Linked DNA regions of Cricetulus griseus. The protein of the gene in region 3 purifies or fractionates together with the protein of the main gene of each other region. This does not show direct contact. Links are inferred from orthologs where the notes say so. Each region holds a gene or a part of one and is shown on either strand. Other genes may lie near its edges.

Region 1 (3,654 bases), on a different chromosome or scaffold from region 3:
AATACAGCAGTGCTGATACTCCTTAAGGAGTATCAGATGATAAATAATTCGTTAATCAATTAAGCATGCAAAACACTAAAAAACTGAATGAAAGACAAAACCCAACATAAATGGAAAACATGATTACTTCATAAAAGATGCTGAATGTCACAAAATGAACCAATGTCGCACATTATACTTTTAAGAACTAAAAGTATATGCACAGACAGTGTTCTATGCACATGAACTTACTCACTCGCTTGAAATAATGAATACTGTCTCTGTCTGTCTGTCTGTCTGTCTGCCTCTCTCTCTCTCTCTCTCTCTCTCTGTGAGAGAGACAGAGACAGAGACAGAGACAGAGAGATGGAATAAGGTGAGAGACAGCACTCCTACAGTGTCCCAAACTACAAAGATATATATTAAAATCTTTCTCACTCTAAAATTGTAGAGGCTATAACCAAGAGGTAGCTACCCCCCAACACACACCAGAAACAATGTGAACTTAGAGTTAAATAATCTTTATACATGATTGAAAAGCAATGTATTTCCTTTGTTTACACTAAAAACTCATTACTAAAAGCCTCTAAACACAAGTTGCTGTAACTCATCTATGGAAAGATGATTTACATCAACTTGGAAAGTCATTAACTCTCACAGGTCCTCCTCCATCTAAAAGGATCTTAACTGGTTCAGCAGATCTCACAAGAGCCCTGGAACCCACCAGATCCCAACAGCTGTCTTGGGCTATGAAATGGTGTTCCTTTCCCCAATCCCTTTTGACTCAATTGCCAGAATTACTGAATGGGGCAAGAAAGTAAGTCTATGTGTCTCCCCCAATGACGATGTCTAGAACTAAATGACTTAAGAATAGAAAACCTTTCAAGATTTATCATTAAGAGTCATTGGAAAAAAAAACAAAGAAACATGAGACAGTGTCATCAACTTGCCAGACACTGTTTCCCTAAAGCAGGAGTTTGTAAGACCTGTAGCAAACCATTGGTTAAGGGGGACAAGCAGAGAATGGGGGGAGACATGATCAAGATACACTGCGTGCATGCATTAAAATTTTCAAAACACACCTTTTTTCTAAAATAACTATTCTTTCAGTGACTCTTAAATCAATAGGTATCAAATAAAGTTCAAGTATCTGATTATTTTTCTATGATACTGAAATTATTATTGCAAAGAATATTCCTTAGATACATATCTATGTGTGAATATCCACATATATGTGTATGTATGGATACACATACACACACTCATCTCAATTTTTGTTATTGAGGTTGAGAGACCAATTATTTATCTTTGAGACTATAAAGCTTTGGGACAAACCAGCATTTTCTAGTATGTTTCACATCACTGACCTGAAATCACCTTTGTTGTTCACAACCCTCTCTGGTGGACAGTACTGGGCTGAGCTTTCTAATACCACAATATCAACAGTTCTTGTATTATTCCCACGTTTGGTCTGAACATGACAGCCCCAGTTTCCAGTAGATCCAGCCTGAATATTGGAAATGGTTAGGGCACTGCAGAAAAAAGAAAAAAAAATTTAAAGAGAGAAATATCAGGATCCTAAAAATAAAGTAGAGCCATAGGAGGGGTAGGAACAGAGCACAATGGTTTGTAACACAAAGGAATTCCAGAAGCATGGTGGGACACAGAACAGCCAGCTCACAGGTGGAAAATGGTTTTAAGTCACACCATTTCAAAGACTTTGAATAAAATATTTATGAAATACAGGACTATAATGAAGTGATTTAAAAAGAAATATGTAAGGAGAAGAGGCTGGAGAGATGGCACAGTAGTTGAGAGCACTTGTTCCTCTTGAAGAGGACCAGGTTTAAGTTCTCAACAGCTCACAAACCATTTGTAACTCCCAGTTTCACATGGTCTAATGACCTCTTCTGACCTCCAAGGGTACCACATGCATACAAGGTGCATGAACAACACACACACACACACACACACACACACACACACACACACACACACACACACACACACACAAATAAATAAAAGTATTTAACAGGAAATACTTTGTAGAGAAAGAAGAGAAAGATTATTCTAAAAACAGGTGGATCCGTGGGCAAAAATGCTTGCCAATGTGCTGGGTGACTTTAGTTTGAGACCCACACACAGCAAGAGGGAATCGATTGCTGCAAAAGCCTCCAACTTCTACGTGTACAGCCTGGCATTCACAAAAGAATACATGTGCATACACTAAACAAATGTAACTCTTTAAAAAGATTAGTAAATGACCAATTAATGATTCCTAAAGAAGTGTCTATGTGAAGCTATGTTTCACCTTAGAGCTGAATCTCTCCATAATGGTCAGTAAATCTCATTCTTAGTATGAAATCATAATTCTCTAATATAAACCTATTAATTAAAGAGCAAGTGTCAAAACCTTCAATTAACCCCCTTTCCTCTATATGATCCACCATGCTTTGCCGTTATGTAGAAACAAATGGTAAGATATAATTAGACATAAAGCATGTATCATCTTAATTAACTTATCAAATTATGTCTGGAAGTGAATACACATTTGTGTGGTCTCCTAAGTCACCAAGGGCTGGCTAGCATTCTAATAGACTCTGAGGCACTGTTACATCCAGAATCATCAAAGAAAATGAATATTAGCATTCCTAAGTTAAGAAACAAGTCAACAGTTGTAATCAATATTTTAATGATGAGTGACATAAAAAGCAAAATTCTTTATTAAATAATCATTAAATCCAAAGCTATTCTATGCTGTGCAGCTATAATGAATTAGGACGAAATACAAAGTATGGCCCCTAAGTAATCCAGGTTTCAAGCTCAGCTCAAGAGCCTCACTATGTAACTCCTTTACTATGTGCCTAGTCCTCAAAAAGAAAAATATCTGGTAGTTCCAAGTAGTAAGATAAATGTCAAAACTGAGTCTCTATTCAACCATAGGGGTACACACCTGTAATCTTAACATGGAGGACCTAACACAGGAGGATCACAAGGCCAACGTAAGCTCATAAAACAACAAAATATACTGTATGTTTACATTCTAATAAATTACTAGCCTAGCCATTTGAAAGATATAGCTTTAAAAATTACCAAAAAATAAAATTTTTACCTAAATACAGTGATTCCACATGAGATGTGACTGCCTGCTAGCCACCATGGAAACAATCTGAGTTCAGAATCTTCTCAGGCAAAGAACACCTTTTTCTTCCAGGTTTTTGACTCATTTGGACCACCACATCGGCCTAAAGTTGCACACCTCAAAATATGGTACCATCAAAAGAAGCATGACATGCTTCGATGGGGACACTGTACAGTGCTAGCAGCCATGTGGTGTCCAACCAATGTCACTGCCTCAGAGGATTAATGTGGGTCCCAGTGTTGGTGGTACCCTTCTGGGAACCATGGGTCCTCATATACTATGCCATTATTTTTTTGTGGATAACTTTTAACAATGCTTTCAATGTCTAAAAGCATCCACTGGAACCAAAGTCCCAGGTATCACCCAGACAGCAGATCTAGAGACAAGGGATACAAGAAAAAAGCAGCTTGAGTGTCATCTTGTAAGAAAACAATCACTAAGTTTTATAAATAAAGGATGGACGACATCAAGAGACCTACAAGGGATCAATAAGCTTCAACCTCACCTACTTCAACAACCACGAGTTTCCTTTC
Region 2 (3,654 bases), on a different chromosome or scaffold from region 3:
GCAGTGTTGGCTGAGCAGAACATGATAGTTTTAAGAGAGTGGCTGTGGCGTCATTTTGAAAGGGAGACTGAATTCCTCAGACAATTCCAGATACGCCATGGCCACCTGATAATGACAAAAGGGAGGAAATATAAACAGAAATAAAAAGTGAGATAAGCAAAAATGATTTCTCTCTTGAAATAGTGAAAAATATAGTGATCACATTAACAAAAAAGATAAGAGTTGTTGGTGAAATAGAGGCCAAGTCTTTAGAATTTTTGTCAGTGAGTTTGGTCCCATGATGTATATGTTATCAACAATGAAATACTGTGTAACTGTTTTTCCATACTACTATCCCAATTCTGTGAAACATTATAAAGACCATAATTGTATTTTATGGCCACCCATGCTAAGAGCTTGAACTAGGATAAAAAAGATTTTTCATAGGCTGTATATTACTATTAAACTCATAAGGAATGAGTTAGTAGCAGAAATATCAGCAATGTGCAGATTTTTCAGAAATTTTTTTCTCTATAATGGAATTTAAAGGAGAGATTTGTGGAAGAGAATATTAGTCCTTAACAAAGCCAATTTATAAATTAGGGGAAAATGCCACAATCATTAACTTTCTCATTACTAATCTACCATGTGCAGATAATCCTTAGAACTCCACAGTCCTATTGGTCATGGTTATGGTTAGAGATTTGTACCATGAACTTTCAAGCTACAAACATCCAGAGAAGGTTCTCAAATTTATACTATGTTTTGGCAACAGTAATTCTAAACTGTGTACTGGAAAGGAACAGTGTGGGTTGTAAGTATGATAACTGTGTCCACTTGTGTCACATTCAAATTCATGCCGGGTTAATGTATGAACTGTTTTTTAAAAATTTCAAAGTGTGTGTGTGTGGGACTTAAGCTGTCTATGGGGCCTCAGGCAATGGAACCAGTATTTATCCCTAGTTCTCGAATGGGCTTTGGGAGCCCATTCCCTATGGAGTGATACTCTTTCAGCATAAATACATGGGAGAGGACCTAGGTCCCGCCCCAAATGATGTGACAGATTTTGATGATCTCCCATGGGAGGCCTCACCCTCCCTAAGGAGTGGATATGGGGTGGGATGAGGGTTTGGAAGGGGGGACTGGGAGGATAGGATGGAGAGGGAACTGGGGTTGTTATGTAAAATAAGATTTTAATTTAAATAAATTTTAATTAAATTTTTTTCAGACAGCTAATAAGCAGCATTTAGCATATACATTATCTATCATATGTCATATCATCAATATTGTGATTGCTTTAACATGTTAGTTTGTTCTATGGATGACACACCATTAGTTTTTTCCCATAATGAACTTAAATTTACTCTCATTTATTATGTAACTAAGATATCTTGGGTATCTCATACACAGTCAACATGATGAGGCATTGTCACCAGCACAGGTACTTGTTGGCGCTAGTTGGACAGTTTTATATGACATCCAATACACCAAATAAACACTACACTTGACTTTACTGTGTTTGAATGAACTACAATTATGGTAAACACAGGCAGTTTAGTCTTGTGATTTATTTCCTATTAATGGGTTGAAGAGAATTTTACAGGTTATCCTACTATGTCTCTTACAGTTTCAAATAGATTTTTTATTGGAACAAAGTAATAAATATTTGAAATTTCCTAATACCACATGCAAATTCTTATTTCACAGCTGCACTGTTTGTAGCTGAGTGCCAGCAACAGGGCTATAAAAGTCTGTATCATATGAACTTGATTTGAATGCATTCTGTCATTTGGATGAAGTATTTAAATGACATCCTTTCATAATGGTTATTTTAGTATTTTATTTCCTCCGTAAATAAATAACCCTTTCTTTTTTATGAAATCTATTTGTGAAAAAATGTAAAGGCTCCTGAATGGAAAAGGGTTGAATATATAAAACTAGTCTACTCGATTGCAATGCATGTTGGATAATATTTGTGTTTTCTTACCTTTCTTTCAAACCAGGAATTTTTTTCAAAAACAAAAGCATAATCTCTAGGCTTTGTCTTAGATAATATATAGTTATCAGAATATATTTCGATCTGTGTAATAATTTGTATTGAATTAGTGTCTGTATGCTTTTAAGTATGTAATTTATGTATTTTATGAAATAAGATCATTTGAAATCTTATATCTTAGTGACATTCAGAATCTTTTCTTTTTACAGCCATTTCGTAGAGTGACGTTTTCTGTTGTGAGTCAGCCACAGGACCCACATCAGGGGTCACTGCAGAGTTGCTATGACAGCGGGCTGGAGGAGTCAGAAACACCAAGCAGTAAGAGTTCATCAGGGCCAAGACTGGGTGCCCTTCCACTCCCAGAGGACAACTATGAAAGGACCACGCCGGATGGCAGTGTTGGTGAGGCAGAGCATATGGAAAATGGTAGGGGCAAACACAACATCCACACACATAATCACGCTAGTGAGCCAGAATAACTAGGCTTGTGAAAGCTAGCCTAAAATAAAAACAAAGTAGATTACACCAAAAGTATTTCAAAATACTAAACACTCGGTAAAATTTAGAAATGACAAATAAAGAAATATAATTTTGTAGATAAAATTCATAAAATTATGCCATCATTTCAAATAGCTCATCAGAAATAAATGCACCTAGAAATAAATTAGAGCAGTTCCTGCTATGAAAATGCTAATCCAATGCACAATTGCTAAACAATAACCACTATGAGAGGTCTTGTTTAACTATTTCCTTCTATTCATTTTTGTCATGCAACTATTTCTTCAATTTTCATAAATCAATCTTAGTGAAAGGCAAGACCATGAACACACTTTGCTTGAGTTTTCCTTTCCTGAATGCCCAGCAATGCATTTCTGAGCCTGTTCTTTTGAGTGCCAGGTGAAATGGATGAGAAGCAAGCAGCAGTGTCTTGCTCTACCTAGCATGCAGTAAATACCACAAACACCCCTCTCCCCTTAAAGTATATGCCTTATTCCGATTTTTTGCAAGGAAAAGGAAACAAAACAAAATATAATGCTGCCTACTCTTACCTCATTGTGAGGCTATTCTTATACTTGTCACAATTCTCCTTTATGGCTTTTTGTATATCATAAAATGATATTTAAAACAATGTATGTAAATGCTTTCACATTTGCTCATGTTCCTAAAGAAAATTTTGGTATTTATTTTCTGCATTTTGAGTGCTAAGTATACATTTGAGGAAAATGTTTATGTCAAACAGTGGAGTGGCAAAGCTCTTCCTAACTTCATTATTATTTCCAGAGTGGCAAAGCTCTTCCCAAGTTCATTATTATTTCCAATGTGAAAGAGATACCGTTATATATCAAGAAAGGCATGGGAAATGCAAATATTTTGTCTGTAGTGAATAGTCAAAATAGATTTATGTCATTCACCGCCTCAATCTGCTAATGAAAAAGGATCTCTTTCTTGCTTTATACCAGTTTCTTCAGTGGTGGCATGCAAAGACAGTGTATTAATGCAAAGAATAACAGGCTTCCTTTTCAAAATTTTACCTGTGAATATTAAAATCCAGCAACGAATAAATCAAAAAGAGACCTCAAGTGAAGTATTCTAAACTAAATTATACTAAGCAATTATCTTTCTACATTATTATTAGATTTGATACCAGGGCCTGTTGATTGATGTCCCTTTTGATCAAT
Region 3 (3,654 bases):
TCCGAGGGGTACTTATGAGTAATTACTATTGTATAAGATAATTTTTAAATGTGACTACTAAATACACATACATATTTTCCACAGAGAGTACTTCCACACATGTTCTTACTATACATATGTTTGTCATTGGTGGTGTGCTAATGTATGTATTTGCGTATCTGTGTGTCATAGCTCTAAGTCCAACAGGAACTCTCCTGCCACCCAATTCAGTGTGGCTTTGGTTTTCCCCCATTTTGTTAGCCGAACAAAAGGATACCCCTGCTATAGGAATATGGTGATGATATGTTTTATTTTGGGCATCTCATGTCTGCCCTGCAGACCGCAATGCATATTCTACCTTCCTGACATTTACATCCTTCAAATTATATAGGAGCAATATATAATTGCATTTGGTACCGCATAGTCTTTCCTTTTATTTATCCTGTAATTTTGTTACTGTTGCTCGTGAGACTGGTAAGGTCAGCAGTGTTTTCCTTATGGTTCTGTAGCTTTAGTATATTGGAAAGCAGAACGTATAAGACAAACTAGCATGTTCAAATTCACAGGCAAAGCTTGACAGTAATTGTCCCTTCGTCTCTGTTGCTTTTCTCTTCAGCACTCTTCCTTATCTACATGGAGGAAACAGAAATGTCCAGAGCTGTGGTGATGTGGTCTCAGAGCTCTCTGGTCCACTTATTTAAATGTGTTTGTTTGCTTTATTTGAGAGCAGATTTTTAGGACACTAAAATATTTTCTCTTATTTCTTTTAACAGTGTTTCGGGTTGAACTTTCCTGTACCGGCAAAGTCGACTCTGAAGTTATGATACTAATGCAGCTCAACCTGACAGTAAATTCTTCAAAAAACTTTACAGTTTTAAATTTTAAACGAAGGAAAATGTGCTACAAAAGTAAGGAATTTATTTAACAGAGTGTGTTTTGTGTAAATAAGAGGTCTATAGAATATTGTATTGTTTGTTTACAGACTTAACTATAAACAAGTCTTTATTGTAGTTGTGAGAAAAGGGAAGCATACTAGTAGATGAAATTCTGGGGTAACCCCAGATAGTGTGTAGCCAGGATCTCTCTCGGCCACACTCAGCTCTGTGGAACTGCTTGAAAGATTCCATGAGGAGTGTGAAGTGGAGCCTGTGTGGCTGAAGGGTAAAGAAGGAAGACAAACCCCACAGAGGCCATGGAGCAGCTGTGAGCTAAGCATTTGCTCAGTGAACTTGGCTTCTGCAGGAGCTTCACTGTGTGTGTGGGGGGGTGGGAGGGTAGGCGGAATGTCTGCGGGAGTTTCACTTTGGGGGGTCACGTGGGCCTGCTCTTCTCAGGATGGGTGAATTGTTATTACACCTTTGTGAGACTCAGGTTCTCATCTGTAAAATATGCATGATGCTGTTTCAGAGAGGGTTTAAAGGATAATTAAATCTAGCCTAGAATTAGAGTGTCACATGTGGGTACTTAATAATAATTATTTGTTAGGGATTTGAATTATATTGTCTATTGCTCAGGAAATCACCACAGATACAGTGATTTCTAGCATACCAACGCTGAGTTTTGAAATTTTAACAATTCTACAAGGTTATCTAATTTCCATGTAGCACAGAGATAGAACTTGTAAATTTACAAATAGGTAGAACTGTTTACTGTTTAAGGTAGAAACAAAACAAACCATAAACTCAATGGATGCTTTTCCATGGTCTGCACTCGTTACATGCAGTAAACCCATGTATCCTTACGTCAGTTCTAGGTAACCTGGCCAGGCTCAAACAAAGTGCTGCAGCTGAGAGGCCAACCTGTGTTCTTGGTTTCTTTGTGAAACTGTTTATTTGCAAACTTCCCAGTGGAAATTAGTGCTGGGTCTTATTCAAACACCCAGGGTCAGCAAAGTGAGTTACAGTGGCAAATGTCAAGACACATGCCAACAAAGAAACTATATTGCATTGAAAAGAGACATTTTTTAAAATAAAAAAATTATCACCCTTATCTTTAGTGCAGTTTTAAGTTGCTTTGGTGTAAGTTTAAAGCCTAAGGGGATTGTAGAGGCTTTACTGCAACTTGCCTTTATGTGATTGGCATGAGGACACTGGGCCTTGAAGAGGCCACCTAGACTTGTATAACTAGTCAGGATGGATGGATGGATGGATGGGTGGATGGGTGGATGGATGGGTGGGTGTGTGGATGGGTGGGTGTGTGGATGGATGATGGATGGATTGATACTAGGGTTGGACCCAGGGTGTACTAGAAGAGTGATTTACCACTGAGTGTATCTCAAACTCTATTTTAGCAATTTTATTTGAGACAGGTGCTTGCTAAGTTACCCAAGCTGGCCTTGAACTCACTATTTAACCAAGTCATGCCTTGAACTTGTGATCTTCCTGTATCAGCCTCTTTGGTAGTGAACATTAATGTGTTCACTACCATGCTTGACTTCTGAAAACTGTTCCATTTTAGATTTAATATATACCACTGTCTTAATTTGGTGGTCATAGCTTGCCCACTTTAATCAGCTTTTTTCATGACTCTAATATGTGATCCTATTGTATTCATCTGGTTTCTAGCCTATGGCACGTAAACAACTGCACTAGCAAGCACATCTGTGCTGTGTGGAATGCTAAGAGCTGTTACTCCCTAGAAGTTTCTTTATCTTAGTGGTAGAGTTAGGGTCAGGATTTTTCATCCTTTAGAAATCTAGATCCTTTCTGTTGAGCTGGTTGTGCCAAGAGTTTCCATGAAGACAGTGTAAGTTTGTGGGTTTCTCTACACTCTTGACCACAGAAACCCATTTCATTGGGAGTGGACAAGTAACTGGCATAGGCTGTTTATCTACTGGTGATTGCACTGATGACTATTAGAATGGCATAGTAGTTTTCATTATCTTACAGCGAATACCTGTGACTGAGCTCAGTGTTCAGAAAATGTGCTAGTATATAAGGATTCTTATGAAAAACAATTTCTGAAGTACTTTTTATTTCCCTTTTAATCCAGAACTTGAAGAAGTAAAAACTTCAGCCTTGGACAAAAACACTAGCAGAACTATTTGTAAGTGCCACTGTGTTTGTTATCTTTCTCCATCACGAGACTGAAGCAGTGCCTGAGTGCATGTGGACATGCTTGCATGACAGTGGAAGCCTGCTCCAGTGTGGTGTCAGTTTGCTGTCTATTCTGCTCTGTTCTGGAGACTGATACATAGATCAAGTGAAGCTGATTGGGTATTGAAGATTGTGAGAATTCAAACTTGCCTCTTTTATAGAACTAACAAACTAACACATACTTTTTAGAAGCAAAAATTTATATTGTGCTTTTTCTCAGATAGGCCCAATAAAGGAACAAATACTAAAAAATATGTTTAAGACCTTCAGTAGCAGAGTGTTAGGGAATCTGATTCATACCCTGGGCCTAACCTTTAGCTAATTTCATCTGGGTGAAAATGCAAATTTATGTTATTTATTTTATATTTTATTTTGAGAGAGAGAGAGAGAGAGAGAGATGACCTAGTTGGTAAAGTGCTATGCAAGCACGAAGACTTGTTCAGATTCCTAGCACCCATGTAAATGGCGGGAGCTGCAGTACCCTCATGAAACTCCAGCACCATGTGGCACGGGAAGGTGGGGGTGGTGGAGGGGCAGAGATAGGCAGATCTGCAGAGCCTTCTGGACAGCCAGCCTAGCC

The links. Proteins that work in one complex are often made in the same cells at the same time.
Region 1: the proteins of Ryk (region 3) and Adgra3 purify together in Homo sapiens (affinity purification with mass spectrometry; 3 studies listed by BioGRID and IntAct, with this or other methods). This does not show direct contact. The link is inferred for Cricetulus griseus from reciprocal best matches to the Homo sapiens genes RYK and ADGRA3.
Region 2: the proteins of Ryk (region 3) and protocadherin-7 purify together in Homo sapiens (affinity purification with mass spectrometry; 3 studies listed by BioGRID and IntAct, with this or other methods). This does not show direct contact. The link is inferred for Cricetulus griseus from reciprocal best matches to the Homo sapiens genes RYK and PCDH7.

The regions. Positions count from the first base shown.
Region 1 is NW_023276807.1:118,364,852-118,368,505, forward strand, and holds part of Adgra3 (adhesion G protein-coupled receptor A3), read right to left. Parts: intron 1,512-3,654; coding exon 1,347-1,511; intron 1-1,346. UniProt on the Homo sapiens protein: Orphan receptor that may have a role in planar cell polarity pathway.
Region 2 is NW_023276807.1:125,653,609-125,657,262, forward strand, and holds part of protocadherin-7, read left to right. Parts: intron 1-2,184; coding exon 2,185-2,401; intron 2,402-3,654.
Region 3 is NC_048597.1:211,108,695-211,112,348, forward strand, and holds part of Ryk (tyrosine-protein kinase RYK), read left to right. Parts: intron 1-752; coding exon 753-887; intron 888-2,970; coding exon 2,971-3,024; intron 3,025-3,654. UniProt on the Homo sapiens protein: May be a coreceptor along with FZD8 of Wnt proteins, such as WNT1, WNT3, WNT3A and WNT5A. Involved in neuron differentiation, axon guidance, corpus callosum establishment and neurite outgrowth.